2 linked regions of the Drosophila melanogaster genome follow. The protein of the gene in region 1 interacts with the protein of each later gene in a pairwise test. Each region holds a gene or a part of one and is shown in the gene's direction. Other genes may lie near its edges.

The links.
Region 2: the proteins of CG9795 (region 1) and Nin interact in a two-hybrid assay, tested with the Drosophila melanogaster proteins (2 studies listed by BioGRID).

What each region holds. Positions count from the first base shown.
Region 1 is NT_033777.3:4,313,748-4,329,957, forward strand, and holds CG9795 (uncharacterized protein), read left to right. Parts: upstream 1-5,935; 5' UTR 5,936-6,039; coding exon 6,040-6,143; intron 6,144-8,097; coding exon 8,098-8,300; intron 8,301-8,600; exon of another isoform or gene 8,601-8,748; intron 8,749-9,483; coding exon 9,484-9,875; intron 9,876-9,939; coding exon 9,940-10,142; intron 10,143-10,205; coding exon 10,206-10,417; intron 10,418-10,589; coding exon 10,590-10,763; intron 10,764-10,840; coding exon 10,841-10,925; intron 10,926-10,982; coding exon 10,983-11,064; intron 11,065-11,125; coding exon 11,126-11,742; coding exon of another isoform or gene 11,743-11,752; exon of another isoform or gene 11,753-11,949; coding exon 11,950-12,088; 3' UTR 12,089-12,346; downstream 12,347-16,210. Other genes in the region: Suv3 helicase, read left to right, coding at 1-40, 95-497; Syt14 (synaptotagmin 14), read right to left, coding at 2,376-3,359, 3,907-4,142, 4,209-4,541, 4,601-4,762, 4,835-4,880; CG9776 (uncharacterized protein), read right to left, coding at 14,260-14,270, 14,390-16,210.
Region 2 is NT_033779.5:5,271,605-5,287,814, reverse strand, and holds Nin (ninein), read left to right. Parts: upstream 1-9,266; 5' UTR 9,267-9,625; coding exon 9,626-9,881; intron 9,882-10,473; exon of another isoform or gene 10,474-10,489; coding exon of another isoform or gene 10,490-10,568; intron 10,569-10,634; coding exon 10,635-10,879; intron 10,880-11,083; coding exon 11,084-11,303; intron 11,304-11,446; coding exon 11,447-11,527; intron 11,528-12,034; coding exon 12,035-13,796; coding exon of another isoform or gene 13,797-13,800; exon of another isoform or gene 13,801-13,988; intron 13,989-14,224; coding exon 14,225-14,654; intron 14,655-14,717; coding exon 14,718-14,829; intron 14,830-14,886; coding exon 14,887-15,137; 3' UTR 15,138-16,087; downstream 16,088-16,210. Other genes in the region: Bub1 kinase, read right to left, coding at 5,016-5,741, 5,826-7,487, 7,544-8,455. UniProt on the Drosophila melanogaster protein: Required for the positioning and anchorage of the microtubule minus-ends in various cells.

The sequences.
Region 1 (16,210 bases):
AGGCCGTCTTTGACGTGATGGATCTGTATCTTTGGCTAAGGCAAGTCTCGCACAAGTGCGCTTCAGAAAAAATCTAATCAAACTTGTTTTGCAGCTATCGGTTCATGGATCTCTTCCCTGAAGCGGCCTACGTGCGAGATGCCCAGAAGGAACTGGACGAAATTATACAGCAGGGCGTTTTTCAAATAACTCGCTTGCTTAAAAATACCGAGGCGAGTCAGGACGGAGAAACATCAAACTATGCAATCCGCCGAATAACGCACGTGAAGGAGCCTCGTCTACCCAGCTTGTCGCGTGGCCGTCTCACCGAAAGGTTACTTGCACAGGGTCTTCTTACCCCAGGCATGCTTAGCGAGCTACGCAAGGAATGGGACGCCCAGCAACTTGGCAAATCCAATTCGCAATCTAATGAAAATTCGGAACCAGTGGTGAATAGTGACGACGAGGATAATTACTCAGGGATCGGGCGAAAGACAAGGAAAAAACGCAGAAAATGAACGTGCCAGCTCAGGATTAGTTAGAATACGAAATAAGTAGGTAAGAAATGGATTTTTATATAATATACTTTTATTTTAAGTGGCAATTAAGTTATATTAAAATTATTTAGTTGATAATTAACAATGGCAATTTAATTGTTTAAATTTAAAAGTTTTATTATGTTATCTCTGTCAGAAAAAGAAAATGAATTTGTTTTTTTTTTTTTTTTTGCAATTTATGGAGGGACGCAGAGTCTGAACAAAGACACTAGAATTATTAGACACTAGAGTTATTCTAGTGTCTTTGGTCTGAAACACTTGACAAAAATGAACTTTGTGTCAAGGCTAACAGCCGTTGCACTGTTGAATTTAGAAATATGTAATACCGACATTAACGATTTCGATTAGTTAGTTAAATTTATCCTCGCTGTCCTTCCCAAATGAAGTTATAGACTTAGCTTATATATGGCCTTTGCAGTAATAAGGAGCACCAATTCATTCGAATTGCGGTTATAAAATATTCGACACTTAAAACATACAGATTTTTAAAAGATATAAATACTCTGAATATGATTCAACATACAAATTAATATTACGCTGGATGCGCATGGCAACACCTTAATAGTTTTGCTTTTTTAGGTTTCGATTTAATTTGAGTTTAAAAAACAATTTCTTTAAATATTTATTAAAGCTTTAAGGTTTCTCTTTTTATAAGTTTAACTTATATCATTCTTGCGCTCTAATGCAAAACCAAAGTACTTTCATTTCATTGACCATTGCAAAATCCAGCCACAACGACCGTCAACGATAGTCAGATACTTTAGCGGAGCAGCTAAATACATATGTGCTCTTTAGTCCGATCCCTAAATCGAAATAAAGCTCTAATAAAATCCATCTTCTCGCCTGGCACGCGAATCGGCATGCTTGCATTCACAGATGTCCTAGTATTTTTACCAACATTTTTTCCAACTTATCTTCGAATGTAGAATATGTATTTGTGCGTTCGAATTCTAAGGTACCGATACTTTTGTATTTCTTTGAATATCAAAACTGGAACATGCGCATGGCTCTTGATCAAAAAACCAAGAGTTACCTATGTACGTAGGTTTGTTAAGGTATGTAAGTTGCAGGTTTGATGTATTGTATGTACGTATGCATTGGCTACAATTGTTCCTATGTGTTTTCGGTTTTCATATTTGGGTAATAAAAAAGTGCTAGTCTCAACAGACTTTGGGCATCTTATGCCGGGCTTAATATTTAAATATAAGATGCAGAAAGGTAAATTACAAAAATTCGTCACTCATCCGTAGCTTGCACAGATGTACAAATGTACACTCAAAATCTTAAATACGCTCTATTCGGACATCTGATATTTCATATAGTATTCTTTATCACAAACAATCATAAAATTCAAATTTCGAGTAGTTATACATATAAGTACTGGTATGTACTTTTCGTGTATGTACTTGCGTATAAAATTTGAGTATTCTGGTTATTCTTGTTCGCTTTCATATTTCATATTTCCTACATTTTATAAACAAAATGTGTGCCAAATTGATTCCAAATTACAAATATTTTATGGCCCAGTCTAGGCTAGATTGTTCGGATGACCCTACCTCTTGGTCGGTCTCATCCTGAGCCAAGCACTTGACGACAGCAGTCGTCATTTGGCATCGACCTTGTAAAAACAAATCACAAACACAGACCTCTGCTTTAGACAAAGTCCAGCTCCAGGCCTGGCTCAATATCAAGTGCAACCGCTGCATGGAATTGAGCTCCGTTCTCCTCCAGACGCGACTCCTTTGAGCTCTTCTCGCGGGACCGGTCCTTGAACGCAGCGAGACTCAGCTTTCGGAGGGCCTTTCCGCTGCGTCCGGATGACTGGCCCAGCTGCTCGAATCAGGAGTCCACCAGCACATGCCAACGCGCCAGCATCTCTCCCTTGGGCATCTCGCACACGTCTGCCCAATGGGCCACTTCCTCTGATCCGGACGAGTTCAGACCCAGGCTGAACCAGCCGACCATCTCGTTTTTCTTCATGTGCCGCTTGGCGTACACAGAGATCATCAGAGTAACATCGTTGAGCTGGAACAGGGCCACCTGAAAGGCGAATGTCTCCTTAAAAAGCGGGTTAGGCTGACCCCTGCGGATTGACGTTTTGGCCCGGGAGATCTCTTGTCCGATGCTGCTGACCATAACCATTTTAACGTACGTGTCGGGCGCCTTGTTCAGCGACAAGCTGCGGAACTGGCTTCCCTTGATGATCTCGACGCTCAGACGCCCAGTGACCCCGTTGTAGCTCAAACCCAGCAGCAACTCGGAGACGCCCCCGTGCTGCATGGACGAGGTGGAGCCCGCGCTTTCTGACCGAGCCAGGCTTAACAGATCGCTAGTAGAACCCAGGCCCGACGAGGTGTTTCGTGGCTCCAGCGGCAGCCATAGGTTTGTTTCCAGTTCAAGGTCAACAGTGGCGAAGCTCACATACGCCTCCCCAATCAGGCGTTCCTTGCGCAGCCGCTCGCAGCCGTAAAGCCGCACACGCAGCCCCATGTTGTTCACATCTTCTGGGTTGACGCGATGGAGAAGAAAGCTCTCCATATACTGTGGATTTTCGCCGCTACGGATCTTGGTTTTGAGCTTCTGCTTTTTGCTTGGCAGCATCAGCATCCGGACCTGCGTGTGGGTGGTCTGCCCACTACCCAGGGGCGGAAGATTTTTTGCCTGCATCACGTGCACCGTCATTTTCCGCATTGGGGCGTCGTACAGCAGCGACAGCTCCAGCTCGATGGGACCCCTCTGCACGGCCGGCTCCTTCTGGTCCACACCAACCAGTAGGTCATCCGACTTGATCGAGCGCAAATCGCTGGTGTCAAATAGGGGTTCCTGGAAGTTGAAAAGTTTTGTATGTTAAAAAAAGTTTCAATGAAAAGCCCTAAAGCATGGTACAAGAAAATATGAAATGCTATCGTTGAGTGCCTCGACTATCAAGAACGCATTACCCATCAAAAAGATTTTATAATAAGAGCCTAGGGATAAATAGTTTTTGGAATATCAATTGGTACTCGCAAGTAAAGTAACTTAAACACTTTAATTTATTTTTTAGCAAAGTATCGGATTTTGACAGATTAATTATATTTCTTAGAAAGAATTTTTAATTTATGCGGTGCACATAATTTTTCAAAGTTAAGATAATAAACTTTTATTTTACACATGCAACGCATTAATGAATTTATACAACGCATTAATGAATTTTAACTTGTCAAGCAAAAAAAGATTGTTAACAGACTATATGGACCATAAGAGTCGGTTAGACTCGACTATGCTTGTTGGGTAAACTTTACGAGTCCGACCGAAAGTTGAATGCCTTTCTAGGCATAGTTTCTTTTAAAGGAATAGGTATTTAAAGTACCTCTTATGTTGTAAAACTTACGTCATCGTTGTTGTTGCTGCTGGGATGGTTATTGCTGGTTGTTATCGAGTTGTTGTTGTTGTTAATGCTGTAGGCATTGACCATGGGCACCACCAGCACGTTGTCCCGTTCCTTGTCCAGCTTTGGCGGAGCAGCCACGTTGACCCGGTGCTGGTACCTCAGTGCCTGGGTCTTGGCCCGGTGTTCTCCACACGGATTGCGGAAGGCTGTCGCCGGGTGGGGAACTGTGGTTGTGGCTGTCAAAAGGTCGTGACTCATTGCAACGGCTGTCAATTAGCTGGCCCTGACCCCGCCTTGCTTACCTTTGCTCAGACCCGTCAGGACGCCTGTGTGACTGTCCACGGAGACCTCCATGGAATCGTTCGAGCTGCACTCACTGTGCGATGACGGGATTCCAACCTTGCCACGCTCGGCGATGGCTAAGGGGTCACGCGACACCGTCACACGCTGCAGGTCGGCACTTGCGCCTGCTTGGTGGTAGTTGAAGCTCTGCGCCGTCAGCGGATTAGCCTGGCTGATTCCCAGCCCGTATCCGCCAGGCTTCTCGCCCAGTTGGTGCTGTTGATGCCACCGCAGGCGCCTCAAGATGTCTTCCTCCGAGTCGGAGCTGGTGTTCTCGTAACGCCTTTTGCGGGCTGCGGGATACTTAAAAGTTAGCCAGTCAGCCCCAATCCCCACGAAACACGGTACTCACTGATCTTCTGCACACACTTGACTGCAAGGTGGCGCTCGTCGCAGCAGTTGATGGCATGGCGGTAGTGAAAACAGCACTTGCGACTGATGAAAAGAAACAACAGGAGCAGTAGAACGAGGACGCCGAAAAAGGCGCCCAGCAAAGTGGTCACCTCGATGGTGCCTGAAAGATTTAACAGTCACGGCTCAGGTCAGAATGGTGTGGTTTGTGGGGTGCATATACATTTTTACGTACCGAGCGTCGGAGTGCTATCCAGTCCAGAAGCGGAGGTAACAATCATCTTGGCTCATGCGAGGATCCTGGCGAACACGAGTCTACTACTCGCAACTCATTGCACCCGGACCACAAGTCAAGTCACTAAAAATTATTCTCACTGCAGCGTGAAAGCAAAAGCTCAGGAATTTGACAGCACAGCGTCGCAGGATAACTGGAATCGATTTTTCGCAAGACAACGACTAGGGATCAAAGCAAAAAAGTCGTTTGGAAGCTGGTGTACTCCGAATTACCCGTTTTTTTGGCCCTTCCGTATTTCGGAACCGTTCATCTGAGATTTGGTTGCAAAATCGTAAAACAAATTATAGAAGGAACAACTATACTGTTCTATCCTATTAATCACTTTCGATTTCTTGAAGGCACGATCCCAAAACTGCGAATCATGCAACGAGAGATTCAGAAATAAAAATCAAACGGCTCAGGATTTAATTCAACTGAATTAGGATGAGCTGCCTTAAACTCGATGGAAAAACTGCTTCAAAGCAAGCACTTTGGAGCTTAATCCCTCCACCCCCAGTGTGTGTACACACAGGGCTCGGAAAAGCTCCGTTTCGACAGTTGCATCGCAGTAACAACTGTTGCTTATTTTTTTGTGTTTGGGAGGATGATTTAAGCTGAAAACTTAGAAACGGGATTCTTTTTTATTGGTTGTGCTGTGCTGTGATTTCTTGAATTGTAATTGTTTAGAATGTCTCGAATAAAAATTCTCTCCGTGTCGTATGCATTCGAAGGTTTAAACGTTAGTCGTAGCCACGGTTTCATAAAATGTTAAGACCAAGACCGTTTGCCTGTTATTGATGTTCAAAAATTTGAACCAAATAATTAAGAAAAGCGGAATTAGTGCATCAGAATTAATGCACATTGTATGCTCCATTCAGGTAATTGTCCGGTTGTTTAAAAAAGAGCCTTATAATTTAGGTCAAAATTTTTAGAGCTACTCATGCTTACATACATGAAATGCGCTGTTATTCGATAGCAGATAACACTCCGAGCAGCAGGTATCGATAATCGCAACAATCGCTGTTCCAGCGAAAGTCATCGCTTTGACGGCACATCGCAGATTGCCCACCTCTAAAATAAATGCCTAATGAATTGGCTCAGTTCCGTTGTGCGCTTAATTTTTTGTCGCTGCTCAAACTGAATGTTTCCGCCTGTCAGAACACCGTATGCAAAACCGTGACCGCGCCCACGCCGTGCTTGAAAGTCCAATACATTTAATCCGCAATTGTGACGCAAGTAAATTTTGGATGGCCAATGCCACTGGGCAAGTGTGAGTGCCGTGTGTGCCAAATTCCGCTGAGACGCTTCTGATAATATGATTATGGCTAAACAGCTAAATATAGTGCTCAGTGCCCCCCACAAAGCGGAATACCGCGGTGGTACCGTGATACCACCTCCTTGGCGTCGATTACTTCGTTTCTTTATTGCTGGTGGAGCTAGCAGGAGGAAGAAAGCCAGTCTACGACGTCATCTTATGTCGTTTCGCTTTTCATTTCGCAGCAGTCACTCGCACACAATGAAAATCGAGAGGGTGGGATGGGGGTGGAACAGGGATTTGAAAACTCGATTTCCCGTACCAAGAGCCCAGACCAGAGTTGAGCGCGTGTCAAAACTTTTCGACACAAAGCAGCACGAAGCCGAACTGGAATCTGGCAAAGTGCAGTCTAAATACATATAATATAACGCTTTTGTATGAAAATAAAAGTTTGTCTAACCTTGAATCTAACAACCAAGGCATTTTTCGTTAGGTATATATGTGTACTTCCAAATATATAAAATATCCTCGCAGAGCTTCTAGAAAATATTCTATTGTAAGCAAGTTTTTGCAGTGGACCAGTGAGCAATGGCGTGGGAATCCCAGCTGTAGATGCTTGGAATTTCTACAAAAACTTACAATGTCGTTTCCCGGTCTTTTGAGCTTTTAAGCTAGTATTCAACTTTCAAGTCAACTCCATTTCTGTCAATCCTAATTTCTTCATACCCTTGCAGAATGTATATTAATTTCAGTTAGAAGGTTTTAACGCAGTGGTGGAGATATTTGCGACCATATCAAGTATATCTATTCCTGATCAATATCGCCAGCCAAGTCAATATCTAATTCACATTTTTTGCCAGGGTTTAAATATTTGCTACAATATAGCTCAAGCAATCGAAGTACATATGTATGTATAGTGCTCTTCGATTGGGTCAACAAACCAAGCGACTCGCTCTTCCAGCTCTTTGTCGCCGTGTGCATTTAGTCATTGATCGCGGGAAGGAGTCGCTGTGGGCCATGTCACCATCTCCATTGACAACGCAGCCTTTCTTTATTGGTGTCATTAAAATTTGTTAAATGGAAAGGTCATTAGACACAGCGGTGAAACCGGTTTGGTTTGGCGGCTTAATTTTCGGTTAACTCGACTGCATAGATTACGCACCAGCCACTTCAATTGGCTGCCAAATACCTTATGCTTATTGGTATGTCTTCACTTGCAGTATGTATATTTGCTGGCAACCACCCACCAACAAAAAAAAACTTGACCCAAAAGCGGCGAATGTTTATTTTCTCTTTATACTTGACTGACGTTCATCTTGGTGGCCAGAGTTTACTGCCAATGTCGTTCTTAGTCAGTTAAAGTGGGAGTAGATACAATTATCTTGAATCCAAGCTACCGCCTATTTTCATCCCGAACGTATTACTAGATGTTACATACTAATAGAAACAACGCTTAAAACTGGTAAATAGGTTTTTTAGTTGAACTATCAATCGTATTGTAAACTGTTAAACCTCATTGACAATTTTATAGACACAAAACGCTGATTTAGGGCTACCGCTGGAAAATTCTATTATCTGTTAGTGAATTCGTCTAAATTCATTTGTAGATCAATAAGTGAATAAATGTTTATTGTTCGTCAATTAAGTGCCATTCCACTGGTCTGTGCCTGCATACATTTAAATGTTTTTACATTGTATATTCTGCAACCACAGCACAGTTTGTGACGGTGGTCGTGCAAGTGTTTGGAGAAATCGTACGGCTGTTTCCAGGGATTGCATACGTAACTTGAGGATTTTTCTTGCTGTTTCACTTCTGTTTATTGTCTCCCCCAAGTGCACTAGGTACAAACATCGAGTCTTTCGTGGGTTAATTTCTGTGTGCTTCCAGTTTTTATGGTCCACTGCGGAATCGCACGAATGAAAAACCTCGCTTAACAATACTTAACTATCCGTATTTTTTCTATTTCAGAAGCAACATGAGCGTTTTGCGGGAGGAAACGACAACTTCCAGCCAGAGGGAGATAAGCACAAACGGCGGTGGGTTGGATTTCCCCGCAGAAGTGACGTCGCTGATTGCTGGCAACAGCTTTTGCTTAACGCCAGGAAATAACGGCGGGATCGGTGCCCAGAAAAAGGTCACTACTGGAGCGGGTCTGAACAGTACACAGAGAGGTGAGCGAGATCATCGTCCGAAATATTGAATATCCGTTAATCTAGGTTGTTTATAAAGTCTATTTTAAAGAACTTGGTATTATAAACTCAAAATTCACATTAAATTCCAAATCAGTGAGTGAAATGTTAAATAAATACAAAACACAATAATAAATCAATTAGGTTAATTTTGTACATTACGCCTTTTATAATTCCCTGCAAAGTTAAGAAACCTCTAAGTTTCTTCTGTGTTGTACTAATTTTGATATAATAAACATGTTATATTGCATTTTTTGATCTTAAGGTTCCTTTTATTTTTAGCCACTATAATTACGAAAAGATTTAATCTATTCAAACTGACTGATTTCACGGTCAGTAATCGACTTAATTTTATTTGTTACGATGCCTTTGTCCGAGATATATCATTGAAATAACGGAAACTATTTACCTAACTCCCGAATTATATAAGGTGGGCAAAATATATACTGTTTGTTTAAAATTAATATTACAGTATAAAGTACATATGTATATTAAGTAAGTATATGAGTATACATACATCTGATTAAAAAGTTGAAAATGTTCAATAGTGTGGGCGTGGCAGTTTTAATCAATAGAAATTAACAATATATACAGTCAAATGACAACAAATTAGGGGTGGGAGTGTCAGCTTTGGTTAGTTGCAAAACAAGCTTGCTTCTTATTATGAAATTTATAGTATCCGAGACCTCGACGGACATACGGACATTGATAGATCGACTCGGCTAGTGATCCTAATCCAGAATATGTATATTTTCAAGGTTCGGTGACAATCCCTCAACATTTAGAAGCATTTCTGAGTAATTTCCTTGCTCTCCTTACTGGCCGTTTATCGAAAGGGGCATCGAGTTTGCTCAATCTATAAAAACCAAGTATTTGCTTGACTTAAAGAAAACCGTTTGGTTTTAACAATTGAAAAACGAACCAAAATAGTCTTAAAATTGCTTCAAATTGCCCCAGACGTTTTTCTGGGCTAAAGTAACTTAGACAACTCTAGTTTAGCCGCCGAGTTGAGCGTTACGTCCGGAATTGTTGAATTCGTGTAATAGTTTTCACTTTGTCAATGCTGGAAGTGAAAGCCGTGAAGCCTTTAGCTACGTAATCTGTCCACACTAGGACCTGCACTATTGAAATTGTCAAGATGACCTCAAATTAAATTCTCCTTCAGCTACGGATGCCACCAAGCGCAAGAAACTAAGGTCGCGTAACGTACCACCTTCCCCATTGGCCCAAAAAACTGAAGCAGCGGCGACCTCTCTTAACCAAACGAACATCGGTGAGGTCAAGAGAACCGATATTAACTATTCCAACGATCACCTTGATGCCTGGTTGGAGAGCTGTTTACGTGATGCCACCAACGCCCAATTGTCTTCTTCATCTGAGTTTTTGGACTTCATACCGCCCACAGCACCAGCTCATAAGCAAATGTTTTTGACTCAACAGCAGCAGCTGCCGCAGCTTAAACAGCAACTACAGCAGCAGAGGCAACAGGAATTTTCGAAGCGAACCCAGCCTTACGGAGTGGGTCCAGGCACACCGTTTAGCCTGGGGATACAGCGCGTGAGTAGTTGCTATTGCAAGATATTTTGTACAACGCACACCCAACTTTATTTTATTTTTACAGAATTCGAACTCTCTTAGCCATCGATATCCGATGCTCTTCCCACCCCAGAGCCTTAACAGCTATGGTGATGGTGGCCAGGAGTTTGCAAGCTTGCCTCCCCTGAACAACATGATGGGAGGGCCGGAAGGGCTTGGGTGCGATCAGGAACCGAATTCGACGGATGTGCTGGATGGCAGCGAAAGCAATCCCAACTTTACCAAGGGGTAAGCAAAAACAATAAATTCGTAATGAATTATTAAAGAGCCGTACTTACCGTGTGATAACAGATTTCGGTTCAGCGATCCGTGCCTACTGAACCCCTCCGATAATGACTCTAAGCTGAGTGGCCAGAATACACCAGAGTGTCGAAATGTGAACAACAATGGCAGTGGCTGTGATCTGGCACATCAAAACAAATTTTTCGCGGCTCTAATGGAACAAATAAACATATTGCACGACACCAATTCCAAGATCTGCCGGAATTTGCATAATACAAAAGGTGTGTGGTTTGTAGGATTGTGTCCAGTTTAGATGTCACGATGCTTCCCAAATTACGACAAAATTACACAAATCTCTGATTTATTTTACTTGTACTCGTATGCTAATTAGAATGTGTTGCCACCCATTTCCTCTTTCTATGTACTCCCTTGCACTTGCAAACACAATCATAGTTGATATCGAAGCTTTAAAGCACTCCCCTAATAGCCAGCACTGGGCAGGTGTAGGCTTTGGGGGCATGCGGCACCGTAGAGATAGCTTAAGCGGGCTAAGCACACAAAGTCAACCTCTTATTCTTGGCAGTGGATTGGGAGGGACACACAGCCCAGCGCCCACATTTCACTCAGGTATAACATAAACGCTACCCCCAACTATGCCATGCAAAGGAGTGAGTAATAAGTTATATTCGCTTCCCATTTTTCAGGCGCCTACACTCCAGGAATGATGACGGATGTCGTGCGGGAAGTGAAGGAGGCAGCGCGCATACGCGAAGATGCACTGCTAAGTCGGTAAGAAGTCGAAAATTAAAAAGTATATTTAGAGTGTTGATTACATTTTGTTCTCAGAGTAAAATTAATGGTTGAAGAACGTCAGTGTTCCTTAAACGAGGGAAATGTCCGAATTCTGAGAGATATAGACGATCTAAAGGTGAGTGCTAAAATAAATGTGCATAAAAAGCTAAAAGCTAAAAATTCGATTTCGGTTGTAGACCCAAGTAATGCAGTTGCGACTGGAGAAAAAGGAGACTAACAAACGCCTCTCACATCTGGAATCCGAAAACAAGTGCCTTCGTCAAGCTCTGGCCGGTTGTTATAACCAGCGGCCAATCAGTAACGACATTATTTACGAAAATGACCGATCCCATGGATTCCGAAAGCCATTTCCGAATGGGGGTGGCGGCGGAGTTGTGGGTTCCGGTGCCCTCGGAATACGACGGGCAAAATCTTTAAACCTTCATTATGGAACAATGCATCAAACGCCTATCCAAACGACACACTCTTTGGAAGAGGACGACGAAATAGAAGAGGAGCAGTTAGTAGAGCAAGTAGGACTGGACGGAGAAGAATTATCCCTGACTGGCAACAACAGTTTATCGTGTTTGAACATCGGTCATCAATCTCCCTCCAACTTAACGCCTCACTCACAGATACCTAAATCAGAAAAGCAAGCAGTTAGAAGCCCTCCCTCTTTTGCGCTGGCTTCTGACCAGATCAATCCGGGAATTCCACCGCCATTGCTACCACGAAAGAAGGACCACGCTCATCTAAAGCGGGAGCGCAGCGAGGCGGCCTCCGTACGTAAGGAGACAAATCAACGTATAATTGCGTGGGTGTAGTATATGCTCTGTTCTACATTTTTAAACTAACCCATCACCGTTAACTTTCACTTGCATGGACGTTTTAAATATACGTTTAGTCACATTCTACTAATCATTTTAATCACTATCTGAGCTTGGTAACTAATCCTAAAACTTACAAATTGTACACTTCCTTTTTATCTTTCAATGGTTATTTATACTGGGCAACATTATAGCCTTGAGAAATTGGTTGAAGACCTAAGTGACCAGGTGAGAGGTAAGACAAAGAGGAACCCGACCGTATCAAGCACTGCAGCGGACATAACGCTATCATCGAAATTCAGCGTGGCGGACGCTCCGATTACGGACTTATAGTTTTAGCTATAAGCCGCCTCAAAAGCAAAAGGGTTGCGCCAACACAAAATGCGTGTCACTCACTTATAGCATTTGGATACACGACAATTATCACATCAACGACACTTCATCTTATGTTTCAAAATTTATTATAACCCAATAACCTGTGCGTAAGCTCAAATGTATTAACTAGAATGCTTTTACCAAGTGTCAACTGTAATTTAAAATTTTGAAACTCATTGTTTTTTGTCTACTAAAAATAAATGTCACTAAATTTTTAAATGAATATGGTCCATAAATTATTTAATTCATTTTGAGTTAATTGAGATGCATTGCACAACAGTGTTTGTATTTTGTGGATGATTAACTAAGAAAACCTGTACCTATCGAAATGAACAAAAATCAAAATCTATATAGACGCAAAAAGCCTAGAATTTAAATAATAATTAAGTAGGTTGAATAATGAAAATTGTTAACCATATTTGTTAAGTGCCATTTAATTAAAAAATGTAAAAATGTAATATATTCATATAAATAGACATAAACATAAACATTAACATGAACGGAATGCGTTTTTATAGTTTTTTAATACACTGCGCGTCACCAGGTCAGCGCCTCTTAAGCAAAACTTTTTGATGTGAGATATTTAGTAAGCGAGAGCTTTGAAAATTTTTTTCCCTTAAGAGTTGAAAAGTTCTATAAATGAAAAGTTTATTTGGGTTACAGTTTGTTGTTTATAGATTTTTATTCAAGTAAATAAAAATTAGATGTTAAGCACTGAAATATTTAAATTAGAATATTTTTAAAGGATTTTTTGTTTTCAAGGACTTCACACATTCGTCTGGGAAGTGAATCATATTTTTTTGTAGGTAATCCAAAGCAATCGTAGACCAACCGAGTTTTATTTCGGTGATCGATTCCTCTTGAGTGGCATATTGTTTACCACCCTCGTATACCTTCCCATCCAACCATGCCCCAGAACTTTTACATTTCGCTTTGAATCCATGTTTCCAAAAATGTTTTTAAAATAGGGAAATGCAGTTTTTTAATACACAATTATATATAATAATATAATTTTTGCTGTTAAAAACTGGAATTCACAGAGGCCATGATAAGATGCTGCGCTCCATACCATGACACCTCCAACCCGTCTGTGAAAGCGAACCAAAATATGCTCCTCTATACGCAAATCATGGTTGTAATTACTATAGCCGTCTGCTTTCTCCAGATAAATTTCTTCTCGTCCGAAAATACAACATAATGCCACTCCTTAGACCGGATCATATAAGCTCAAGCAAAACTCAGTCGTGCTTTTTTTCGCAACTTATAAAGAGATGTTTTTTTTCAGTTTTCTGTGTTTCAAATGTTTAGTTTTCTTAATCACTCTTTGAATCAAAGATTTGCTCGGGTTTTCGCCACTTTTACCCCGAATTTTGTCGGAGGAGTCGTGGGAATTGCAAGGTATTCGATAAGGAATGTTATTGCCACCTTTATAGTTTTTTCCATAAGTTCACTTGTTTTTAATAAAATTGACTATAGTTTTGCGATGTCTGCCGTTTGCAATTTTATAAAAAGAAAGCCCGCATTCATAGAAAGCTATGATTTCGCGTGCCTCGTCCCATTTTTTCGCAAAATTAAAGCAAACTATTCAATTTAACAGCATACAAAATTTTGTTGTCCTACCTTTTAAATTATGGAAGATATTCCAAACTTCATTATGGGGCGCTAATCTGATGATGCCATATACGTGTCCAATTTTTCGCCGAAAAGAAAACAAAGCAGAACTAAAAAGATAACGGTTTTTTTCAGGACCTTTTTTTATCCTCAAAGAGGTGAATATCAGTGAACAAAAAAAAAATTAAATTGATATATTTTTATGCAATGGCAAAATAAAACAAAATAGAAAAACAGAACATAAGAAGAAACGGGGACATGCAGGGGGCTCTAATCTGATGACGCGCAGTGTATGTTAAAGCAATTATAAATCAAACGTTTTTAGGATTCTTACATATATTACATACATATATGCGCATTTATTTAAAACATTCCGTCAAAAACACTCATACACAGGTGCCAATCTAAAATCTAAAACTGTTCCTTTTTATGGGGCTCCTTGACGTGTTATTCGATTCGTCCGCCCGTGTATCCGGCGTCGGGACTTGCCTTTCGCCCTCTCCAAGTCAACTCAAATCTTACAGAGCATCTATGCACATATATAGAAAAAATAATGTAGAACTCATTTAAGACTCAAATAGCACAGTTTCTAATTTAATTAAAAAAAAAGAATAATATACATAGCAAAGAAAGACACGTTCTACATACATTGTGCCGCCATGTCACTCCTGTCGATTCCCAGCATAGCCAACTCGTCAAGCTCCGACTGACGACGAAGCTTCTCACTGTCTGAAGGCGATACAGCCGGCTCTGGTATTTCTGAGATATCAGCTTGCTTCTGTAAGGCCTTGCTTTTCGTCTCCTCGTCAAATGACGGCTCAGCCGGAGGCGAATTCGGCATTGGGATATCCTCTGCGTCAATCAGTTTTATGTTTACTCCGTCGTCCGATTTGCCATTTAAATCCTGCAACTTTTCAATCTTCTCCGATGTTTGAATATGTGACTTTTTAGGTACCTCTGCTTCATTGATAGTTACAAGGTGAATACCCTCTTTAGCTAAATCTTGAAGATGAATCACACTGAGCACTGCGTCATCTTCAACAATGGTGGTGATAGTCACATCTTCCTGCTTTTCACTGTTTCCATTTGATGCCTCCAAAATCGCTACGTCGCTGGGGAATATTATGTCAAGCGCTTCGACCAGGTCCTTTGGGAGTTCCCCGTCTCGGGATTGTGCCGCAGCGTCTAACGGATGCGGTACCAGGGCAGATTCAGCTTCATCAATGCCTGGGGGCAAGACGTCCTCTCGGTTTTCGTTGTCATGCTGATCGCCATCCTCAGGGCCATGGGCATCACCTTCAGAGCCTTCTCCAGGCGGCGGAGGTGGTGGGCAGCTCGTCATTAAATTGGCGAACTGGACAGGATCTGGCATTAGCTCATCGTAATCTACCATCATACCCGCATCTGGATGAAATGGGGGAGCATTGCCAAAAGCATCTTCCATCATTGCCATCTGAATCTGCGCAGCTGTCGGTGCTTGTTGACGCACAGCTATCTGACTTGTCGCTCCGCCCAATGGAGGTGGCGGTGGAGGTGGTGCCTCCAAACAGCCGTTGGTGTAGACAGCAGAAGCATCATAGTTGAAAGATGGAACAGACTGCTTTTTAAATACTGGCATCTTACCGATGAAAGGTAGTTTTTTGCCTCCAGGCAAGGAATTGTTACTGGGCTTGGATGACTTTGACTTGCTTTCTGCATCCTTCTTGTCGCGCTTTATATCAGTTTGCTTGCGTTCCGGCACAGTACGGGGCCGAAACTCGGAATGCTTGACCACGGGACGCTCTACCCGTTCAATAGAGCGACTACGACTGCGTCGACTTCGGCCCTGACGGGATCGACTTCTTCGACTAGATCTTATGGGCGAACGAGAGAAGTGTCGGCCACGACTGCGTGACCGACGCCTACGACCACGGTCTCTATCTCGCTCACGATCCCGCCGATCTCGATCCCGCCCGCGACTTATGCTTCGAGAGTAGCTGCGCCGCTTAGAACGTGAACGAGAATGACGTCCTCCACCCCGCCTAAACTTTTCATCATTCGCTTCTGTTGGTACTGCTTTGTGGTTGTTCTGGTCGCGGGCTCCCTTGTTCTTCAGCCTTCCTTTAAGCTGCTCCAACAACTTTTTTTCACTCTCACTTATAACAGGCTGCACATTATTCCATTGCTTGAGCATGGTATCATCCCGGTTCTTTTGATCCTTACTTTGGTCTTCGACACTGGCGGCAGTCCATTTACCCCGTTCTGAAGGAATTGTGGAATCCTTTATGATCGGTGGCGGTGGCGGCACCACAGGCTGACAAGGCACTTCCGGCTTCAAATTTGTTGGTGTGCTTTCCTGCTTTCTCATGGCCACTCGTATTGATGCTGCATTAGTCGACTTATCTGATTGACAAATTGGTTGCTGTTCGGTACGACCTTTCTTTGGTTGCTGTCCATTTTCCTCTTCCGACGAAGAGCTATCGGAGGATG
Region 2 (16,210 bases), on another chromosome or scaffold:
ATATTGTTAATTGCTTAAAAAACAAGAGTTTACTAAGCACACAACTTTAAATTTGTATAGTGGCTTACCAGTCGTATACTTAATATCTATATTCATACATTCTTCTTAAATTGGGAGAATTCACCACGATTGGAATATATATTTAATTAAAAGCTCGATCGACGACCACTGTGGCTATGACACCCTTTAAATATCTGTTAACCCAGCTCTTCCCCCCTGATAATTTTCTGCCCGTCTGGATGTTATTGCTCACGTTCTCATTCTCTCAGGTGCACGCTACGCTCCAGTGGTGCAGCCATTCCGCCCTTCTGTGCACTCTACACTCTCAGCCAGGACAAAAAGTTGCAGCTTGAACAGTGTGCACTTAGAAAAGTTGATATGTTTTACAAGCACATAATTGACGTATTTATCGAATTGCTTAATTTCTATATTAAGGAAACCACTTACTATAAATGGCGGGTATAAATTATCACATTTTTTCCAATTAAAGTCATTAATAAACTTAAAAACTCGGAAATACTCTGCTTAAATCATTAATAGACCCAGTTTATTAGAATTTAATTAACTAAATTACTGCCGATCAACAGCGACTAGATTCACAGCAATAACATTTTATATAGCCAAGCATATAAAGGAGTTGGCAGCAGGAGTCTGGCGATTTCATTAGCCAGGCCCAAACTTACATAAGGTGGAAACAGGAGCGGCAGGAAGAAGATGTCTGAACCTCGATGGCGATGACTTTTACTGTCGTTTGAGGTGCATACACATACATTTCGGTATATATCTATATATAGTTAGTTATATATGTATGTATGTGTTGGGGCGTCGTCTGGTGGACATGTTCGGTGAAAGGGAAAGGTTATTAGACTCGCCCCGTTGCAGAATTTGATGTGGTGGGGGTCCAGACACTGGCTGCTCCTTATTGTTATAATAACCTTTCGGTTTTCTGTTTTCACTGTCGACGGAAGTGGGCGGCGACAGGCGACAGGCGGCAGCAGGTGCCGGTGGGCGGGGCAGTGCAATGACAGCGGTCGACGTCGGTCCTTGGTCCTTCGACTTCATCGAAATCCACCATTAGGCGGTGGGCATTACGAAAGACTGACACTCTCTCTGCTTTCGAATTTCTGGGCGACGAACTCGCGGCCCAGTCACAGGCTCAGTTTGTGGCAGGATTTCTCGCTTTTTCGGGATATTTCGGCTATTGACTCGGCCGGCGGACGTTGCCACATGGCGGCCTCAGTTGAATGCACCCGACGAGGTCACAGGACATCGGCCCACCGCGTTCTCGGTCAAAGTCACATGGCCACTTGACACCAGACCCCAGATAACCGCAATTACAATGACTAGGAGATACATACGTAAGTAGGGATGTGAGTGATGAAAATAGAATTTGAAGTAGGCTTTTCAGGACGTTTGCATATACACAGGGGGTAGTGAACCGAACGAAAGGACTTTTTTTGGGGTCAACTGAATGACGGCTGATGAAATAAGTTCATTGGTGTGATTATCCAGAAAACGGGCAAGGAAACATATTCACGCATTTTATAAAACACATAAACAATGAATAAATAATCAAATACTACTACCACATTTCTTGCATGCATTTAATTAGGGGAAAACAAAATATTTAGATATACTTCATTTTAGTGAACAAATATTTGTTTCAATAAAAGAATGACTCACTTCAGTGATGTCATGATTATTGGCATAGGTTTTGGTTGTTATAAGCGGCATAAAGATAAGAAGTTACCACACATGAGCTGTTATCACAACTGCAAAGTATTACTTATCAAATTAGTTATCGATTTGCTGAAGGTCACTACCAGTTGGCGGCTTTTAAATCCTTAAGACATATAAGGAAATATTAATAAAAATCACATATTCAATCGTGATTGATTGAGATATGCTGCAATTAATGACTCATCAAACCAGTTGTATTGCCCCATAAAGATAGTTATTAAGCGGCCAATCGATTGATCATATTTTAGTGGGTCAATTACCGGATGCTAGATATCGTTTTTCGTTCGAGAATTTTCCTTTTTCACGTTTGTCAGCAGCAATCGGTGCACCGCATGCTTATTAAAGTTTTCCGCCAAAAAAAAAAAGTTTCTCCATCCCACTCAAGTTTCCCTCGGCGAGATGCAAAATATTTGGCGAGAAGAGAAAATAGTAGGGAAAATTCGCGAACAGATTTTATGAGGTCAAAACTCATTACAAGCGATGGCAGCGGCGGGGGGTGGGTGCTGTTGCATAGTGCACACTGTACAGTACATACACGTTAGCCCCAATTCGGCGAGTGGGAAAAAGAAAAGCTGCAGCAAGCGGCCCATGACAGTTGTTGCAGTTGCAACTTTCTAATGCGGCAACAGCGAACAGCACTGCAAACGGATGTGGATCGCGGCGACTGCAGCTCGCAACGTGGCATCAACATTATGTGTGCCATGATGCACATGCACCGCACTGCAGCCAGAAAGCAAGAAAATCGAATCGAATTTCTCCGACACTGCTTTCCACTGCAAATTACTTAACTATTTTCCCAGTTTTCGCTTTGTCGTGCAATTGGCGAACAGTTGTTGCATGTTGTTGCATATTAGCGGCTGCAACAACAGCAGCAGCAACACGGTGCGGCAGTGAAAAGTTGGTCATGACAATCAAATGGCCAACACTGCATGGCATTCGAGGGGTGAGCAGTATCGCTATCTGCCGGGGATGGGGGTCTTGGCTGGTTTTTCTGCACACACACATACTCGTACGAGTGCATGTATGTATTTTGCTGGCTTTGTGTGTGGCCACTGATGCATTCCGCCTGTTGCAACTGCCACTTAGGCGAATCTAGTAGGGTCCCCTTAGTAACCTTTGCATGCCACCATTTTGCACGACTTGCTAGCGAGGAGTTGCACTTAGTCACAGGAATGACTAACCAACCAACCGACTGGTAGTCGTTGTTCTACCCTAAATTCCCAAGGGTGACTCAGATCGGTCCTTACCACAAACGCAAGTTGTTAACGCTCCTTTGGTCGAGTCCATCGGTCATCATTGAGTGATCTTCAGTGGGGGAGAAACAAGACGTGCTTCATAAGTTACAAAATATGAGCTACTTACTAATAGAAATGGGTAATTTTTAGGTAAAGAAAATAAAAGAAGGATATTTAAAAAATATAATAGAATATGGCATTAAATGAATCTTTTAATATACATAGATTTTTTCAAGTCAACAAAAAGAGATATAGATATTATTATGAAAGTATTCTTGTAATAAGTACTATTACATTTAAGATATGAAACTATGATTTTAAGTTCGTAAATTTATTTAATTATCTAGCTAATTTTTTTTTAAATCGTATCATAATGAGATCATCGTATCATAATCATCATATCATCTTGGTTTTAAATCCTGGCTAATCCGCTTAGGCACCTGTCCAGATGGTGAAAACGCGTAGCTTGGTAACTTGATCTTAGCCAAGTTAATTGCTGGTGGGTACTTAACGAAAAGTCTCCCCACTTTTCTGGGATTAAGACTTTCCTTCGGTGGAGAGCCAAATACTGTTGGCCATCAGCTTAATTAGAAACGAGTTAAGTGTCCGCAGCTCAGCACTTAACTGATCTATTAACGAATTTCTTTCTACCCATTTCTATTGACTTTTGTTGTCATCTTGCTTTGTGTTTTTGGCTGGCATATCGGGTGATCGGAATCGGGAATAGGTATGGGTATTGGTATGGCATCCAGATGGAGATCGGTGTGCCCCAGTGATCTAATAAATGCCGCATTGTCATTCGCTTCGCTTCGCCACTCCGTTTGTCACTCAATGCCCGTGGCCCCGAAACTGGGGCACATTCATTAATTTATCGCATGCAAAACAATCCGCTGAAGTATCTAATGCTGCAGCTGACGTTGCAGTCGACACACAAAAAAATAGAAAGTTTTTCGCCAATCGCCGGCGGACTGCCTGCTGCAATTTTCTCTTTGCAATTTGATTAAATAAAATATTGTGTAAAAGCGACGCCGGCAGAGCAACTTTCCAACTGCATACTGCATACTGCATAGGCTGCAAGTTGCAGTTTCGCGCCACGACTTCTAAGTCGGTTACTAGATGCAATAATAATTGCATTTGTCCCACTTTACTTTCACTTGGCGAACGAGCAGCCAGCAACAAGCTGCAAGCTTCGAGTTTCAAGCAACTAGCAACAAAAAGCCGCAGCGCAGGCGTCGACTTTGACTTTGTGTGCCTGTTGCAGCTTTTCCAACCGTCGATGTGTGTGTGTGTTGCATGAAAAGTTGCAACTTTTTCCAGTCGCTTGGTGGAAATTGTGCGCCGTTTGGTTGACTGGCAAAAAGGAAAAGTGGGTCAAGCGCAGCATTGTTGTTGATGCTGGCGCTGCTGTTGCTGCTATTACTTGTTGCATGCCCCCACTAAATTGACAATTGCCTGCAACACACACATTATGGGTTCGCCACTTTGGCATTTGATTTATGAAACTGGGTTACCACTGCTTTCCTTTTTCGCGCTGCAATTCATATGGTTTTTGCTTTAACATTTCGTCAATTTATTCACTATTATTTAAAGATCTTTATATATTACTCAATAGTACAGCAAGCACTAATCTTAAACATATTTATGTACGATTCTTTTTTTTTTTACATTGCCTTCAATATATTGTTTTATTGTGCTGTACATAAAAAAATTACATTTAAATCCAGGGCCTTTTTTCCACAAACTCATTTCGTAAACGTTGCTTTAGATCGAGTCTGTGCCTAATATTTACAATGTTTTTGAATTTTGTAGCGTACTTTTTGCTTTCGTTTTTTTTTTTGGCATCAAAACAATAAATAAAAGGGAGTTTGTTCGCAGAAAAATAGTTTAAAATTAGAACGCGGAGTTTTTCCCGGTTTGGTTTTATCATCTTTGAAGAGGGAAAATTGTTTTAAAATAAAAACTGAAACAATATAAATGGGTGACTTGGTCAACAGAGTTATATGCAAAACAATTTAACAGAAAGGAATAGGAATAGATTGGTTATCGTCGATGCAGGATGTTGGATAGGGTGCGTATCTGCTTCTGCAGCTCGGAGTCCATGCGGTACGCCTCCTCCTCGAAGATGAGACGCATCTCATGCAGCGCTGGCAGTTTGTCCGCCTGCATGTTGAGCAGATCCCCGAAGAACTTGGTCCACACATGCTTTTTGAGGTAACGCGGCAGCTTTTGTCGTATTTCCCAGCTGGAGCCCTTCTTTTGCGGCTGCATATAGTCACCGAAGAGCATCACATGAACGGTCGCCGCGATGCAGAAGAGATCCGTTTCGTAGGACCAGCTGCGTCCCTCCTGCATCTCGATGCAGGTGAAGCCATCCGTTTGCACCACCTTCCGGAACTTGGTCTTCTCACCGTCCGGGAACAGGGTCATATCGATAGCACAGCCGAAGTCAATCAAACGTAGCGATGGCAACGGACTGTCCACATTGGGCACACGCATTAGCAGGAAGTTGTCCGGTTTAATGTCCGCATGGATGATGTGCTGGCGATGCAGGTGGTCCACGATATTGCAGATCTGTGCGGAGAAGTGCATCACCAGCGATTCGTGCATTACTTTGGTGGTTGCCTGGCGGATCTTGTTGTTGATGTCCAGCAGCGAACCGAACGGTGAGAACTCGGTGGCTATTAGACTAGCGTTTGGGGCGATGATCGCCGTGGAAATGTCCATAACGCCAGGCAACACCTCTGGCTCCTTGATGCGTTTCAGCACCTAAAACACGCAATATGTATTAACACCCAAATCTTTTTGGCAAAAAAAAACTTTAATATAAGTGGTAAATATAATTTTTCTTACCTGATCACATATGTATATCTCCCAGGTGTTTGGGGGCTTCTGATACTTGAGCGCCACTACATTGCCGGTCCGAGAATCAGTGGCTTTATAAACCGAGCCATATGAGCCGCGACCCACCTCCTTGTCGATGCTAAAGGTAACGCCTTCCAGGACGTTCAGCGTGCGAGTGTTGGATATTTTTGGCAGTGGCGTTTGGACAATCTTGTAACTGGCATGGGCATCGTGATTACCCGGAAAATCTAGCTTGGCGAGAAAAGCGCGGCACAGTTCGCTGTTGAACGGATCGATGGCCTCCTTGTCCATGTGGCGGGCTATCGTTTCAACGGCCTTCGATAGCCGACGCTCCTGGGCCTCCGTGTCGTGCTGAGTGGCGAAGTACGAGTTCTCTTGAAATGTGGAGAAATCGGCCATGGTGCTAGTGCCATTATTGTTGTTGCTGGTGTTATTGTTGTTGTTGTGAATTTGTAAGGTCTTATTGACCGGATGGAGGATCTGCTGTTGCGATGTGTCGCGGAAGTTAAGTCTATCAACAGCCAAGGCCAGCGAGCTATTTGAGTTATCCAAAGCTGTGGCACTGGAGAACGAAAAGTTTGCATTGTCATTAAATGTGCCAGGTGCTCCGGCGAGCACACTACTCGAGGCCACATCAGCCACCGAGGATGCCGAGTTGCTGTTGCTGCAGAGATCCGGCTGGAACTTGCTGCGCTTAACTTTGGTGCGTGCCCTGCGATAGCCATTCGCCTCGCTCTTCGGCGTCGAGGTCTGGCCCAGCATGTAGGGATGGAAGTGGTGGTGGCTTCCGTTGCGTTGACGCTGGATGGGAATCGGAGAAGCAGGTGCCGGGTCCGGCGAAGGATGATGTACTGCCTGCGGAGGCTGATGGATTATTTGATGCTGCTCCTGCTGCTGCTGCTGTTGTTGCTGGTAAACATTCTCTATGGTATAGGCACTGTAGGTGCTGCTGGGCTCCTTCCTGAACTTGATCTTAATCGATCGATTTTCTTGCTCGAAAGTGGTTTGCGCACTGAACTGCACGCCATTTGTGTACGGTCCGCTATGCTCCTCTTCCTCTTCATCGTCTTCCTCCTCTTCATCAGAGTCATCTTCCTCGTTCTCTTCACCACCATCCTCCTCCTCTTCTCCCTCCTCGGCGTCATTGTCCTCATCTTCCTCACCTGTATTCTCCTGACCACTGCTGGTGTTCTGCCCGTAAAGAGCTCCATCCACAGCAGTCATATAGTAAGATTTCTCAGTTTCGTAGGAATCATAAAGAGTTTGCTGTTCTTGTTCTGGCGGCTCCGATGGCTTGGCTTTTTGATCCATTAACTGCTTAAACTTGCGGGCTAGTATCTCTTCGGGACTGTACTCGACGCCTGCTCCTGGTGGATATACCAACTGCTTGGCATAGTGGCACACGCGCGAGGGATCATCAGGCTCTTCAAGCGTTAGAGCCGGCTTCCATGTCTCATGGTTGTTGCGCCCGTAGGCGTGGAAATTGCGCGGCAAGCGTAGGCCAGCCACTTCATTTGTCACCGGAGGACTTTGTTGAGGAGGTGGATTGCCGTTGCCGTTTTGTTGCTGCTGCGGCTGCTGTGCGTGCAACTGCGGTACTGTAGTTTGTTGCGGCGGCAACTGTGACTGTTGGGCTGGTGCATAATGGGACTAAAACAAAAAAGGAGTATTTATCAAGTAGCTTTGATATTAAATTTAATGCTCACCTCTGCCACAGGAGCATAATGCGATTGTTGCTGGACTTGGGATGGTGGTATTGCTGTTGGGGACTGAGTTGCAGGATGTGGTTCATAGCGCGGCCGCTCCTGGTAGTGTGTCTGATAGGGGACCTGTTGTTCTGGCGGCAGTTGCTGTTGTGGCGCCGGCTGATGAGGCTGTGGGGCTTGATGTGCCTGCGCCTGCGGATGATATTGCTGATAGACATTCTGCTGATATGGCTGGGGACGGTGTTGATTATAGCTCTGTGGCATCTGCTGCTGTGCATAGTTCGTGAGTTGCTGCAGTGCATCCTGCGGGGGATGTTGCTGGTGCTGCTGTTGTTGCTGTTGTTGCTGCTGTTGCCGCTGGTAAAAAAGAGACCTGGCATAGGCGAACTTGGTGTGGGCGTGCTGCAGCTCGGAAGTGCTCTGCGCCTTCTCCTGGAAGGCCAAGTTAAACACCGCCTCCGCATCCTTATACTCCTCGCGAGACTCGTAATAGGCAGCCCATCCAATGTAGAAGGCGGCCACCTGGCGACCAGTTCCTCGCTGAAAAAGCACCTGGTAGAAATGGAGTGGATCCGTTTGCATGGCTATGTACTTCAGCCACAGCCGCACCAAACGGACATCCTGGCGATAGTAGTCATTGTGCTCATACACCGTCAGGCAGCGCTCCAGAGTTTCGCGGTACTTTAGCTCCGGATCGCTTTGCGCGTGATTCTCGTACCAGCAGATGTAGTTGTACCAATGATCGAGTGGATCAGGACCCTGGTACAGGGATATGGCGTGCTCCCAAGCCTGCTTGTCGTTCAGGAAGCCGTGCATCTCGTCCGGGCTGGCCAGCGGCGGTGCTCCAGCTGCGACTGCTCCTGCTCCTCCTCCGGAACCCGATCCCTGGCGCATGTACGAGTGCATGGCCATCTCGGCCGGACGCGGAATCCTCTGATCCCGCTGCGCCGTAATGCAAACAAATGAATGCGAGACTGTGGTTTCTACGGGTCACCACCAAAAAGTCTCGGATTGCGGAATGTAGTGCCCCTTGCCGATTGGACTGGTTAGGGTCCACTAACTCAGTTAATCCCTCGGCGTCTTCGGCTGTCACTGGTGGCACATACACATGATTTTCAGTTGGATTTTTCAACAGTTTGCAATGCTCAAAGATATTTTGTATTTTTTCTTGCTTTTCAGCTTGCAAATGGAATTTATTAGTGCTGCCAAACAATCGATAGAACCATTGGCTGTCACTGTTGACGATGGCTATGCACAAGGTTATCGATAGTGCGATAGAAACGTGTTGTTGGGAATTTTTAAACAAAAGCAATTTTTTGTACAACTTTACTTTTTATTTATTTATTTGTTGCCAAAGTTCAATTTTATTAATAAAACTATAGGGTTCTTTGTTTTAAATTATTGTAGTTTGAATGACGCACAATATATGTGTGTGTGCTATGAAGCACTTCCTATTTGATATACTTTTTGTATAATTATAATCTATTATTGGAAAACAACATGTTAATCGGATGATTTCAATTTATGTCAAGTTTTCTACTTTAATAAGGGGTCTGGTTGGAGCTGAAGCTTTCCAAGTAAAGTTAGCGATTTATTATATGGCATTACGTTCTCCCTTGTTATCTATTTATTTTGTAATATAAATATTCAAATCCTAAACGATAGTTGTATAACGATAGGAACAATGGTCCACGATAGTGCCACCTCCGATGCAAGTTTGCTTAATGCCCTCCAGAGCGCGCCACCGTGCTCGCTATTACTGCATTATTGTTTTTTATCAACTCGCTAGAAATTACGCTATTCCCAAAAAAACCGCAAACCCGCGAGTGTTTATGTTGCGTTCCGAAGTGCATATCATAGATTAGTAGTATTAGTAACCCCTCAAACAGCCTGCTGTCCAAAAAACACGCGTGATTCCCCCGCCACCCACGCACATAGACCCCGATATTTCACTTTTCTTGTTTTCGACCCCTGACTGCGTTTGTGGATTTTCCCCCCAAGAAAAAAAAAGCGAAGTGAAAACGCAATTGAGCAGCCGATCGATTGGAACGGCAGCAAACTGAATTCCCCGGGTTACGGATAATGGAGGTATCCGCCGATCCGTACGAGCAGAAGCTCTACCAAATGTTCCGCAGCTGCGAGACGCAGTGTGGACTTCTGGACGAGAAGTCCCTGCTGAAGCTCTGCTCACTGCTGGAGCTCCGGGATCAGGGATCCGCACTGATCGCCAGCCTGGGCGGCAGCCATCAGCTGGGCGTGTCCTTTGGCCAGTTCAAGGAGGCGCTACTCAACTTCCTGGGCTCCGAGTTCGATGGTAATACGTCATCGGGTTTCATTGGTGAGATAGCACAAAGAATCGATCACGCTATAGATTAACTTATATAGTATAAAGATAATATTTGCTATAAGCTAACGCGACAGGTTCGCATAAAACAACATACGTTTTATCTGTAATTGCGCTTTAATTACCCATCAAGCAACATCAGATAATTACGGAATGTTTGCCAGCCACTTATTAGAGATAGTAATTCAATTTTGACACGGATTTGGAACCGTGTGGGTTTCCCTATTAATAAAACACTGATCTAATGAACACATTTCTAGCAGTCTATAGATGAACAAAGCCATTACTTAATACTCAAAGAAGTGCTACCATCTACGTGCTAATTTGCAAGGATTATGCACATTTACTTCAAACCTCCGCTTATCTGATTTGGAAACTTCTGGGCAAATTTAGGACACCTTAGGGTACGAATATCATAATCAGCACGCGGATTAGCACGGCGGCAGCTGGCGATCATAAAATCATAGATGCAATTGACACTTTTTTACGACTCCCAACTGTTCTCGACTACCTGATCCTGCATGATCCTTATCAGGTAGATGGTTACAATGTCCTGTATAAATACGCGACACATTCACCTGGGCAGTTTAGTCTAAATCAAAATGGGAACACGATTGTATTACCGCCGATCCGGCGGTCAGTTAACAGATCCGATAATTGAGAAGCTAGCCGCTCGTTTTGGTAGCCACCTAAGATCCATACAACTCTTCCAGTTCTCTGCTAACTTATATCTATTGAATCTTCCAGAGCGTTCACTGGTGATTACGGATGAGCCGCTAAACAACACATACATCGAGAGTCCGCCGGAGTCTTCCGATCGCGAGGTTTCACCCAAACTCGTCGTGGGCACCAAGAAATACGGTCGCCGGTCTAGGCCACAGCAGGGAATCTACGAGTTATCCGTCACGGACTCGGACAATACGGACGAGGACCAGTTGCAGCAGCAGCAAAATCAGCGAAGCCTCAACGGATGCGATGAGCTGGGAGTTCAGGTGAGTGTCGTTTGTCAAGTCACGTACGAAGTGGCGATACAACTTCTGGTTATGTATGCAAAATTGCATAGTAAACAGATTTTGTTTAATCGTTATTATTGCTGATACAGTAGAGCATGCCTAAGTAGCACTACCAAAGCAAACAAATTATCTTAAATATACATCATGATCATCATAAGCATCTTATTTTTCCAAACCACACAGGTGCAACGTTCCTCGTCCCAGAGCGATCTTCCTGGCAGCCGGCGTCTGCGGTCCGTCCACACCAGCGGGAGCAAACTGAAGCGTTGTGCTTCACTGCCAGCACGCCGGAAGATGAACAGCAACACCACGGGAGCCACTACATCACCGACGGCAGCGGCCAAGTTGAAACAGCTTTCCATCCAGAGCCAGGCGCAGCACAGCAGCAGCGTGGAATCACTGGGTAAGTTTCCTCTGGCCAGACCAGCTTTGGCTAGCCGATCCCCCTTGTCCCTGCCACCCTCTGTTGTTGTTAGCCCAAAATGCCAAAATTACGTTTGAAGCAATGTTAAAAGCAAAACACTTGTTTGTCGGTACACACCGTAGGCCATCGCCTGGCCACCAATCCCGCACCGTCGTCCGAGCACTGGAGATGCTACCACGGCGGCCGTTGGTCATGCTGCAAAGGTTTGTGCGCTCTGAAGCAATTGTCAACACCCTCACACCCACCGAATCCCCAACCCAGTCATTCGGTATCTAATCGCACCCTATGTAGCCGCACATTTGATTCGTTCTATTTACTCGTATAATCACATATCCTACATTTTCAACCCTTAGTAATGCTGTAATGCATTGACAATCAATTTAATTAAGGATTTCATATAAATCAATTTCAGTTAGAAAGGATATTTACTTATAATTTGTTCTATTTTCTTGATTTATTAGTTTCTACCTCTTAAAATAACACGCCAAAAATTTCTCATTTCGAAAAGCCATTTGATATAGAGAAATAACAAACTTTCGGCGCTTTTGCTTACACCATCGACACACACACACACCCTTCCCCACTCCCAATCCCAATCCAATCCCACACCCACCTGGTATCTTGGGCTATATGTATAATAAATGTGTATATACAACAGCGAAGCCAATCTCATTCGTCCCACGCTAATTGTTAATTGCCATGATTTACAGACACCGTGACGCCGCAGCAATTGGAGACGATCTCAGTGCATAGCATTATGGAAGCCTGGGAGCTGGCCAGCATTCCCAACACTCGCAACCTACTTCACGTCCTGGGATTCGATGAGGAGGAGGAGGTGAACCTGCAGCAGCTAACTAAGGCATTGGAGGAGGAGCTGCGGGGCATCGATGGGGATCACGAGCAATCGAATATGTTGCGCGCTCTGGCTGCTCTGCAGGCCACCGAGTTGGGCAACTACAGACTTGCCTATAGGCAGCAGCATGAGGAGAACCTCAAGCTGAGGGCCGATAATAAGGCGGCCAACCAAAGGGTGGCTTTGCTTGCCGTGGAAGTGGATGAGCGGCATGCGTCGCTGGAGGATAACTCCAAGAAGCAGGTGCAGCAGCTGGAGCAAAGACACGCCAGCATGGTGCGTGAAATAACGCTGCGGATGACTAATGACCGCGATCACTGGACCAGCATGACGGGAAAGCTGGAGGCACAGCTTAAATCGCTTGAGCAGGAGGAGATCCGTCTGAGAACGGAACTTGAACTGGTGCGCACTGAGAACACGGAGCTTGAGTCGGAGCAGCAAAAGGCTCACATCCAAATCACAGAGCTTCTCGAACAGAACATTAAGCTCAACCAGGAACTGGCCCAAACGTCGAGCAGCATTGGTGGCACCCCGGAGCACAGTCCATTGCGACCGAGAAGGCATAGCGAGGACAAGGAGGAGGAGATGCTCCAGCTAATGGAGAAGCTGGCTGCTCTTCAAATGGAGAACGCCCAGCTGCGTGACAAGACTGACGAACTGACCATCGAAATCGAGAGCTTAAATGTGGAACTAATTCGCTCGAAAACCAAGGCTAAAAAGCAAGAAAAACAGGAGAAACAAGAGGACCAGGAGTCGGCGGCCACGGCTACCAAAAGGCGTGGGGATTCGCCGAGCAAAACACATCTAACAGAGGAGAGCCCTCGCTTGGGGAAACAGCGCAAGTGCACCGAAGGAGAGCAGAGCGATGCCAGCAACAGCGGAGATTGGTTGGCTCTAAACTCCGAGCTGCAAAGAAGTCAAAGCCAGGATGAGGAGCTAACAAGCCTTAGACAGCGGGTTGCTGAGCTAGAGGAGGAACTCAAGGCTGCAAAGGAAGGCAGATCTCTCACCCCGGAAAGCCGTTCGAAGGAACTGGAGACCAGTCTAGAGCAAATGCAGCGTGCCTATGAGGATTGCGAGGACTACTGGCAAACGAAACTTAGCGAGGAGCGGCAGCTGTTTGAGAAGGAGCGACAGATCTACGAAGATGAGCAGCACGAGAGCGACAAGAAGTTCACCGAGCTGATGGAAAAGGTGCGCGAGTACGAGGAGCAGTTCAGCAAGGATGGCCGCCTCTCGCCCATTGATGAGCGCGATATGCTGGAACAGCAGTACTCGGAATTGGAGGCAGAGGCAGCCCAGCTGCGCTCGAGTTCCATTCAAATGCTCGAGGAGAAGGCTCAGGAAATCAGTTCACTGCAATCAGAGATCGAGGATTTGCGACAGAGATTGGGTGAGAGCGTTGAGATCCTCACAGGCGCCTGTGAACTCACCTCGGAGTCGGTAGCCCAACTGAGTGCCGAGGCGGGAAAAAGTCCAGCCAGCTCACCCATCAGCTACCTCTGGCTGCAGAGCACCATCCAAGAGCCAGCGAAATCGCTTGCCGATTCCAAGGATGAAGCCACCGCCAGTGCCATCGAATTGCTCGGAGGCTCACCATCGCACAAGACAGCCAGCCGGTGAGTATGAGAAGCCTCTCGGTGTGTCCTTGGTGTGAGCATCCCTGTGTCTTCCTCATAATTTGCACTGTATGTCCTGTATATATGTTTCAGTTTTGTCCCTCACATCTAACCATGTCTAATATAAGCTAATTTAATCCTTTTAATTGTATGTTTGTGCTTGTTTAATAAATATAATTTATATTCATATAGAAATTCATCACATTATCGAAATTCATTGATTTATGATTTCAATAAATATACATTTAATATTTTACAAAAAAATTACTCTTTTTCGGTTATGAAATTGGCTGCTGGAAATGGTTTTGTTTGCTTATTTTTCACATTTGTATCATTACACGTTTTCATTTTGCATCTTTATGTTTAACAATTCGTTCAAAGTCGTTTTTATTTTGTAAATCATGCCAATTTAATGGTCCCTTAAACAGCAATAACCTCACCACTTCGGAAACATCCATCTTTAGCACTACACCCTTCGAAAGCTCTCAGTCGGGTCCTTCGCCCACGAACAGTGGCAACAGCAACGCCTACGGCGCCAATCCCGGCCCAGCTCCGATCAGCAAGCCCAAGCGGTCCCAGAGTCCCCAACAGGCGGCTGCATCGGAGGGAGAGATAGCCGATTGCGAGACGTCGTCGACGGCGTCCGGCAAAAGCTTCGAATCCAACAGTAAAACGTCTTGCCTTAGCCACGAGAAGTGCAGCAGTCCGTCGGCACTGAAGGAGGAACTGAAGCGCCTTAAGTTCTTCGAGCTCTCCCTCAAGGAGCAAATCAAGGATCTGAGTCTGCAGCGGGACGGTCTGGTCATGGAACTGCAGCAGTTGCAGGAGGCGCGACCCGTGCTCGAGAAGGCCTATGCGGTGAGCCATAGACTTTGTTGATCAGGGAACATATTCTAATCGTATCTGTGGACTCTTCTTTAGCGAACAACGCATCCAACGCTTCAGCAGCGACTGAACCAATTGGAGCTGCGAAATCGCCATCTGCAGAATGTCATCAAGCAGCAGCAGCATTACACGGAGTCCCTGATGCAGCGTAAGTTGAAGAAACTACCTACTGACCAAGAATGATAATGTAATATTTATTCATTAGAATCCTGGCGGCAGCATCAAGTGGAGCTCAACGATTTGCATAGCCGAATCGAGACCCAGGGTGTTTTACTGGCCGATCAGACACAGCGATTGCAGAGTGCCGACATCCTGGTGAAGGATCTATATGTGGAGAACTCCCATCTGACGGCTACGGTGCAGCGGTTGGAGCAGCAACGAGCTAGGGTGAACCTCATTCACCAGCAGCAGCAACAGCAGCGCCTTGTGGGCGGTGGACTGCCTGGCATGCCTTAGTTTGCCCCACCGGCAAACGTATATAGTTTATAGATAATTATGAAAAAGACAAACCTGAGGAGGGAGTGGTGCTCAGCATCGGCAGACATCGAACATGCACCTAACCATAGATCCTTATGAATGTTTAGACATATACAATTCTCGGTAGATTAAGTTTGCATACCCGTCGTATTCGTATTCGTACGTTGCGTTTTTTTTGTGAATGAATGTGAATCCATGTTGTTCGACACGAGAGCACAGCAGCAATAACTAAAGTGACTTTAAACTAAACTTAAACTCACCCACGCGCAAATGAGGAACAATCCACACTAGTGTACCAATTTGTAACACATCTAGTAATCGAATCGACTAAACTATTTACACGAGCTACAGGCATATATACTCGATTGGACATATACGATGAAGTACCCACGTAGTATATGTTCGTGCAATGTTGACCTTACTAATTGACTACTGAAACAGTTATCGTATATTAATTATATTAGAAGAAACAGTATTTTAAATTTGTTATGCGTCTGAGTAGGCGAGCACGTTTATCAATGTTTATCACGTGCCCAATCAAATGCATCGGAATTGTTGTTAATTTTATTGATAGAGAAAATGGAAATGAGCGTAAAAAATGATCTATGATATTGATATTGATGTAATATTTAACGACAAAAGACCTGTAAAGCTGTAACCATACACACGAATCTATGTATTTAAATTGCGATCTAAGTTAGCCAATACTCTTCAATATTGCTTTTGCGAACGCGACTTTTTGTTATATCTTCATTCGTCCCAATAACTCACTCGATTTATATGTAAAGAAAAAAAAACTCAACCTCAATCACACGATATCGTGTAATCAGTGCTTAAATCAATACTTTCGATCAAAATAGAAGTTTACTTTTTAAAAGTATAAAAAATAATACAACAAAAAAACCAAATATACAATTATTTATAAAACCAAATTGTGATAACTCTTCTTTATTCTCAATAGTTATTAAAATGTTGCGGGAATATAAACTTATTGTTCATAAATACAACTTGATTATCAGTTTTTTGGAAATGTTAAGATTTTGTTTCTTATG